Linked DNA regions of Oryzias latipes. The protein of the gene in region 2 binds, or shares a complex with, the protein of the main gene of each other region. Links are inferred from orthologs where the notes say so. Each region holds a gene or a part of one and is shown on either strand. Other genes may lie near its edges. The genes, in order: ireb2 and fbxl5.

What was found.
Region 1: the proteins of fbxl5 (region 2) and ireb2 are in contact, whole or in part, in a cryo-EM structure (PDB 6VCD), measured with the Homo sapiens proteins. The link is inferred for Oryzias latipes from reciprocal best matches to the Homo sapiens genes FBXL5 and IREB2. Residues at the interface, in NP_036293.1 of Homo sapiens: Asp656, Glu657, Tyr661, Cys662, Asp663, Asn664, Ile665, His669, Ala670, Asp671, Thr672, Ala673, Ser674, Gly675, Cys676, Gln677, Asn678, Leu679, Gln680, Cys687, Arg688, Ser689, Gly690, Glu691; in NP_004127.2 of Homo sapiens: Asp89, Phe90, Ser129, Asn217, Val220, Glu221, Arg224, Arg228, Ala758, Gly759, Ser760, Arg763, Asn764, Thr777, Pro778, Arg779, Asn782, Ser783, Tyr784, Gly785, Ala786, Arg788.

What each region holds. Positions count from the first base shown.
Region 1 is NC_019864.2:10,482,645-10,486,461, reverse strand, and holds part of ireb2 (iron-responsive element-binding protein 2), read right to left. Parts: intron 3,538-3,817; coding exon 3,453-3,537; intron 3,362-3,452; coding exon 3,205-3,361; intron 2,168-3,204; coding exon 2,043-2,167; intron 1,943-2,042; coding exon 1,838-1,942; intron 1,762-1,837; coding exon 1,619-1,761; intron 1-1,618. UniProt on the Homo sapiens protein: RNA-binding protein that binds to iron-responsive elements (IRES), which are stem-loop structures found in the 5'-UTR of ferritin, and delta aminolevulinic acid synthase mRNAs, and in the 3'-UTR of transferrin receptor mRNA.
Region 2 is NC_019862.2:28,339,498-28,343,979, reverse strand, and holds the start of fbxl5 (F-box/LRR-repeat protein 5), read right to left. Parts: upstream 2,840-4,482; 5' UTR 2,789-2,839; coding exon 2,705-2,788; intron 2,165-2,704; coding exon 1,949-2,164; intron 716-1,948; coding exon 620-715; intron 525-619; coding exon 329-524; intron 1-328. Other genes in the region: vesicle transport protein SFT2B-like, read right to left, coding at 4,463-4,482.

The DNA.
Region 1 (3,817 bases), on a different chromosome or scaffold from region 2:
AACTCCATAAAAGTATACGTGGTCTCACGATGAACATTTGGAAGGTTTCATTGACAGGTTTCAAGGTGAGGTGGGATCTCACTCCTGAATGGCAAGAGTGGTTGCCATGGATACTGTTGTACATCAATGTTTGTGTTAAGGGAAAGCTATAAACACCCGCTGTCAGTTTTTCACATTTTTTGTGAGAAAGAAATAACATGGAATCTGGATGAAAACATTTGGATTTAAAGTTGTATTTTAAAAAAAAACATTTTAGAATTTTTAGCCAATTGCACCAACGGCTTGATGTACCTCATGGAGAACTTGTGGAAATGCTGCGTTTATGTGATGTTTGAATGATCGTAAGATAGAAAAACAACAAATGTTCCAACCCCACATGGATGCTAGAGCGGAGTCCCCAAACTTTAACTTGTGAGGTCAACATTTGATGTTTTTTTTCAACTTTTATCTGTCTTTTATTGTAAAGCCCTATAATAAAGTTTTATTAATTCATGGTCCTTTTAATAAGATAAATAACACTATTTATGTAATAAAAAAAATGACCAAATAACTGTGATTTTTCAAAGACCAAAAGTCAGGAAAAAATAGAAAAACCAATAAATAGAAGATCCTCTCCCGTCGTTGACCAGCTGAGACTTTGAAGCTGCAGCTCCTCACGTCTCACAGTTTGCGCTCAAACTGAGCAGCTGAGTCCTGCACGTCTGTTTCTCATCCAGTAATAATGAAAGAAAGCACATTCTTCTGTCTTCTGCTGCAGCTACGCATATAACTGCGTTACCTTTTCACCAGTACAGAGTTCCCTCCTTTATTGCAGGAGTTACGTTCTAAAAATAACCATGATCGGTGAAATCCACAGAGTCTGATTACAAACGCTTATGGCAGTAAAACTCCTCACTGCACACTTTCTACACTTTTCTCAGACAGACATGAACATTTTCATCCTTTTCTCTGTTTAAATTCTGAAACTTTCATAGAATTTAGGTCAAGGATCTTAGAATGAAAACAAAGATCTGATTGATCACAAATTTCTGTAGATCTGAAGAGCTCCGCGTTTCTGTACAGGAGACACGGAGGAGATTGATTGACAAGGTCTCCATCCAATCAGGACACAGAACAGGGTGCGCTGTTTAAAAAAAGTAGCACAATCGCTCTAAATGAGTGAGCTAAACCGGGAAAGATGATCTGCGACGTAGAAAGGGAAGACTGTCTTCTGTTCTGTTTGACAGAGATTTTAGAGGGTTTCAGGCTGGAGCTCAGACTGCAGAAGAGGGGGATAAAATTTCACGTTCTATGCGGGTCGTGATAGTGTAGCCAGATCAAAATAAATGATATAACTGATATTGTTCAGTGGGCCGGACCAAACATGGAGGCGGGCCGGATCCAGCCCGTGGGCTGCAGTTTGCCCACCCCTGGTGTAGAATAAGCTTGAAGTATTTAGCACTGATCAGTATGGTAAAGAGAATCAAACAAATATCTGATCCCTGATTCCTGATGCAACATTTGATTTTGATCAAGTGTGAAACTCCGTGATCAGATCAGGCCGTCCCTCCCTGGAAATAACCCCATTATTAACGTTGGGCAGGACAGAGTCAATAAAAAACCAAAGCTTGAAACTGACCGTCTGCTCTGCAGGTATTTGGCGGCGGTGCTGGCCCTGGCGATGCTGCCCGCTGGCGAGATGTGGTCGGTGCTCACTTTGTCCCCGAGGAAGAGTAAGGCGTGAGCGTTCTCTATGGACTGAGGAGCGGGGAGCTCTTTGCTCTGAGACAGGGGAGAGGAGGATGAAAGGCGAAGTCAGGGTCCCGGCGCTCCCACAGAGAGCTTTCAGAGGACTTACCAGCTTGCTGAAGAAAGGTGGACAACGGATGTACGTGGACTTGGGATCCCACGGGAAAACCACCGAGTCTGGACTTTCAATGTTGTTCCAAAACGTGTTCCCTTTCTGGAAGAGAGCGGAACATCTGTCAACATTTACTCACATTAAGAAACGAACTTTCCTTTGCATCTCCATTAAAAAGACAGCTTTAGTTTCATCTCCTAACCTCCATCCTTCCCCTGAGATCCTTGAAGACAGAGGAGATGACCGTGTCCTCCTCCGTCTGCTGGACCTCCTCTCTGGACGGCCAGATATCACTAAGATACACCTCCTTTCCGCTTGAAGATAAACCTGATCAAAGACACACAACAACTCTATTGTTACTTTGCAAAAGAAAGAAAACACTACAAATACACCAGAGCCACTATTTTGTAATTTTCTCCCGTTTAGTCCAATTACTCAGGTCGCGGTGGGCGGGGCTAATCGCCGCAATTTGAAGCCTTCTGTTCACATTGATGATTAAAATTGTTATTTGACAGTACAGAAGTTATTTGTTGAAAAAAACGTTCTAAAGAACTTTTATTTGTGAAACAAATGCTTGAGCCTGGAAAATGGTTTGTTCTTTTTTTTCAATGTATAATAGAGAATTTAATTGTAAAAAAAATAAAGGTTTCTACTTCACAGATTTTGTCTATCAGGGGTTCTTTTTGGAACGTAACCCCCCCGAAAAACAAGGGTTTACTGATCTATATATATATCTATATATATATATAGATATAAATGTATGTGGTTTTTTTCTTTTCTTATTTCTTTTTTTTAGTTGTCAAAAACAGGGTTTTTTTTGTCCATCAGCAGGACAAGAGGACCAGCATCCTTATCAAAAACCAAAAAACAAGGTCAGCTGTCATGAGGTGTTAAAGATGAGGTCAAGTTTTACAAAATGTCTTTTTAAGGATTAAACACAAAAGGCTCAGTTTGCAGAAATTGCTGGCAACGTTCTTTTTCAGCAAAGTCGGAGATTACCCAACCTGGAAGGATCATCCTAAAACCAAAACTTTACTTTTCTCCTCAACACCTAAAAGACAGCGAGGGAGATTGTTGAATCAGATGAAAAAGTGTGAAGAAGGCAGATTTTGATCAACTTGAGTGTCTAAAAAAGCTTTTTTTTTGAGTGGCTTCAAACATCGGGTCATGTTTCTTAAATAACTTGTACAGCTGGCGCCGGCTGGATGATTTGAGGCGTTCAGACGCACAACAGAGCAGAAAACAGTCATTTCTGCATAAACGTGTGTGTGTGCAGCACACTGAATCACCACAAAAAGCCCATTCACTGTGATTTAAGCACCAAAATCCTCCCATGATCCTCACACGCAGATCCCCGCCCTTACCTAACGGCTCCTTCTCAAAGTCGATTCCCACAGTGCCCGCAATGGCGTAAGCCACCACCAGGGGAGGGGAGGCCAGGTAGTTGGCACGCACGCAGTCGCACAGGCGTCCTTCAAAGTGCCTGTTGCCGGACAACAGACCGCAGGTCACCAGATCCCCCTGAAATGAAGACGTTCATTATTAATGGGTTAAAACAAACAAGCAAATAGAAAAAAAGCACAGAGGAGGATCACAGATGGTGGAAAACTACCTGTTTGATGGCGTCCACGACGGCGTCCGGTAACGGTGCTGTGTTTCCAACGCAGGTGGCACAGCCGTAACCGATCACCTGAAACCTGTGGAGATATAAACACCAACGTTAGTGAAATAAGTCCAGACAACTTGAAAAAATAAAAAGACCAAATCTGAAAGTTTACTGGAAAAACTCCCCCAGTGAGCAACAAACGTTGAATTTGAAGTTTTATGGATTTATCATAGATTTGAAATATTTTACTATTTTAAACTAATGGCTTTTAATATTGATGGCTTTTATGGCTTTATTTTTTTTATTGTGTGTGTTGAATGGAAGCAGCTGGCCGCTTTTTAATTTCCTTCAGGATTAATAAAGTTTCTTCA
Region 2 (4,482 bases):
AGGTCACAGGGATGCTGGAGCCTGTCCAGCTATGGTTGGGCTCCACTCTGGACAGTTTATCAGTTCATTAGAGGGCTGAACACAACTAACCCCAAATAAAGCCTTAACTAGTCTCATATTTTGGTAACGGGTCATAATATCTATCTGTTGCTGTTCATTTAAAAAAAAAACTGTTTCTCTGCTGGATTACATAAAAAGCCTTTTTAAAACATGACTGAAGATAAGACAAAAAAAGAAGTGTGTGGCCTTCAACAGACGCTTGACTCATCTTTGTCATGCACTTAACTGGAAACCTGTAACAAGTTTAGTCATTTGGACAAACACTCACCGTAGTCTGTCTTCTCATGATCCGAATATTTAAAGGCTTTCTGCAGCTCCTCAGCCTGCGACCACAGACGGAATCCCTTCAGCACACCGGCAGCACAGTCCCCGTGCTGTTGGCTGTGGTGCTGGGCTATCACCTTTTTCTTGATGTCTTTCAGCTCCTCGTAGGTGAAGTACTCCATGAGCATCGGCTGAAACACCTGCAACACATTTCCGTTAAAACACAGCTTGACGCTGAAAAGGATGAACAGGTGACATTTTTGATTATTGCTTATCCCGCATGATTATCTTGTACCTCCTCCTCTTCCTTCATGTGGGGCAGGAAGTCCTGCGTGAACGCCTCAAGTCTCTCCTTCAGCTGACGAGCATAGTTAAGCTGCTCACATTCATTCTAAAACCACAGAACAGACAGAAATCCCAGATCTTAGATCAGCTGCTCTTGGACAGTCATAAGCAGACGTTTACCACGCTTTAGGTATTTTGCATGATTCTAAAAGTTGCGCAAGGAAAATTTAACTTCTTTGTTTTCCTCGTCTGAGCTGGCTTCCGGCTCACGACTGTACAGCCGGTCAGCTCCAATATTGTAAAGAAAAAACCTGCATAACTATAGTTAAAAGACCACCGGGAACACTTTCAAAATAGACCAAGGATAATCGGGCTGGGTCTCTAATAGAATTTGAACTGTTAGTTTATAACCATCCTAGAGCCCTCAGGTGCAGGTCTGCTGGTGATCCCCAGGGTCAGAACAAAAAGCCATGGCAAGCCCACATTTTCAGCACTGTGGGCCTCACCAGTGAAGCAGCCTGCCTACTGATGCAAGGGCTGCATCCTCTGTGGAGGTTTTTAAGATAAACCTTAAGTAATCTTTTCAGCTTAGCTTTTAAGTTTTACAAGTAAGTTTTACATTTCCACATGTTTTAATACAGATTCATGGACTGTATCTCTGCTGGTTTCTGTATCCTGCGAATGTGTGTTGGGGGCTTTTATTATTATTATCGCACTATTTTTACAATTATTTTTATTGTTTTATTTTTTCTTTGAGGTGTACTGCAACAAGAAAAGTTTAATTGGAATTTATTCTCCCCAATGGTTTGCCACAGGAGCTAGACTTTTAGATGATCAGAGATTGTGAATACGAGTCAAATCTTCCCACACTCAATGTTTTGTGCTTTTTTTTTAAACAGATATTTCAACAATTTACAAATAAGTCTCTGCTGCAAATTAATATCTGTAGAAACTTTCAGACAGGAAGCAGGATCTCACTCCAAACTAAATAAAGAGATATTAGAGAGTTTGGCAGAGCGGATGTTCCAATTTACACAAATTCACGAATCCAAGAAAGCAGCTGAGATTGGAGTTTGCTGGAGGCTTGAGCCAAAACAATAACTTTTTATCTACTGTTCTTCAAAGGCTAAAGTTCGTGTCTGTTCAATAAATTATAATTATCCCAACAAAATGACAGCTCTGATGTTGCTCTAGTATCTTGTTAGTGGTTAGCCTGACAGTTACTCTAATAACAGATTACTACACACTGTGGATCAGCGGGTGCATGCATGCATTTGCTGAAGGGGTTATTTAGTTGCATCGAGTGCATGAAAGAAATGTAGGTTTTTGGCATATTTACCTTGACATTGTGCAGCCCCTTTTCAAACAGGGACAGCATCTCTGACAGTTTGTCATCAGAGTGCACGTTATAAACTGTGCAGCAACGTTGTTGCAGCTGGCCAATGATGTACTCATTCTCAATCTGCTCGTGCATCTTGAACTCCTTGAAGGTCGCGCACAGAGACTTGAGGAAGGAGCGGAAATCATTGTTGTTGGAGAAGTTAGTTTTTGACAGCTGTGGAAGAAAAAACAACAGACTCGAATGAAATAATAAAAACTGTGGAGCCCAAACTTTTTCACATGATTTTACCACAAGGGAGGAGGAACACACTGATGTAGCCACACCAGCTAACGTAAGCGCAGCCGACATCACATAAAGAAGATTATATATATATATCATTGGATGCGAGATAATACAGGCACTAACGCTTAAGGGTGAAAATATGTGTGTCCGATAATTAAAGCATGTGAGGCCGCCCCGTAACAACACGTTGCACAACAAATCCTGCTGCGATTCCGGCTAACAAAACAACTGATAGAAGATCTGCTGGAAATCACTTTGAAACCCGTAAGGATCCAGGATGAACTTATCTAAGTGTAAGCACCACGTAACAATAAACAGAATCGAGGCAGACGTGACACAATCGTGCGACGGGTCACGTAACACAAAGCTAGCAAACAAGCTAGCAGCCGTTCCCTCCTAATTTGACCACAAACCATCAAAATACCCCGTAAAACACTTCTTTTGTTGTTGTTTTTTGTTTTCTAAACGCACCTTCTCGCAGTACAGTCCCACTAGCTGCTTCATCCGCCAGTGTGGGCCGGTAAAAACATCCACCTCTTCTGGAAAGGGAGCCATCTTCACCGGACTGCGTCATCTGCAGCGCCTAGACTCGGTTCGGGGGCGGGCCTGGTGTTGGTCACGTGACCACGAGTCTGCGCAGTATCAGATCTCACACAAACAGCTGTAGATTATTTACGTTTTGAATGTGGGGAAAAAAACAGCGTATACGTGTACGCAAGATGTTGTTTTTAAAGTAATGCTGTGTAGAGATTAATGATGACATTTAAATTTGTTTACTACATTAAATAACGTTCTTTGTATTTAAATTCATATTTTATATTTCGTTAAATTCGTTATTTTTATTATACGTTTACACATGACATATTTAAATTTGTCAGTAGTACATGTGAAATCTAAATTTGTTTTTTTTGTTTATTTCGTTTTCTTTCTAACATACAGGCTAAATAAATATATTTCCATTTGTGTTTTAATAAAGATCATAGTAAAATTGAATTTATGTTGCAGTGCACACCTGTGCTGTTGTGTATCCAGTCAGTATGTCAGAAAAGGTATATTTAATAAATCTCATTTTGATCTGGGATATTAACTGAAAAGCTGAAATTGTTTTGTTGAAAGGTGTTCACTTTATAATTTACACAGGCTGGTCTCATCAGGTCATCTTGCGAAACAAATTAACAAATCCCACTTGAAATGTTCTGTTTTATTAATAGCGTAAAATTTGCTGTCCTGCCACATGATAAATGCTATTTTTTTCCTCATCAAGGTTAAAAAAAAGGCTAAATTACCCCGTGGGATAATATTAAAGTGTCTTTTTAGTTCCCAAGGGAAAAATCCTGTGGCTGTACAGTTAGTATCGCTTTTGTTTTTGTTATTGGCAGGAAGAGAAAAGGCTGCAGACTGTTAAACAGCATAATCAATTATTTCACCATGAATCTGACCCTGCACCACTGTAATTAAATGCTCTTTACAGCTGCATTAACTTGTTTCATATTTTGTTGTGTTTTTTTTAGCAAGCCACTCTTTTAGTACCAGAGGTGTTTATTATAAGGAACACCTTTTTATGACATCGCCTAAGCAGAATTTGTTTTTAGTAAATCCCTGATGAGCTTTACTGTGACAAGGTTTTGAATTTTGATGCCTCACATTTTACGTGCAAAACTAATCTTTTTTTCTCGCATGTAAGATACAAGTGTGTCTTAGAGACAAACAAAATAAATAAACCTTAAATCATTAAATAACCTGTGTAAAGGATTACCGTCTTGTACTTATGACTAAACTATGAAAATAAAAATAAAAAGCAGAGGCATATTTCACAGCCCCATAACTCTGTAAAACTGCAGAATTAATCTTTTTATGAGTGGCTGACTAAAGGTTAATACATATTCAGAAAATGTGGAAACAAAAAAATAAAAATGTAATTTTTACAGTTAGGTTTTGTGAATGCAGAAAGTCCCCTCAGTCATCAAACTAAGGCTATTATCTGGCGATTTATAAAATCTTTAATATGTACATTTATTACACGTATTTACACATATGGCACAAAAAAGTAAGGGTTTTTAAAATGTATTTTAACAAAAAGGAAATAATTAAATAATAATGGACAAACTCTGCAGTGTATAAAAGAACAACTTTTGTCTTCTAAAGGAAGATTGTCAACTTCAACAAATGACTGGTCCTTTTCTTTCAAAGACACTTCAAGCAGCACAAGCCTTCACGTCAAAGGAAAGGTCACTTTAGGAAGAGAGAAA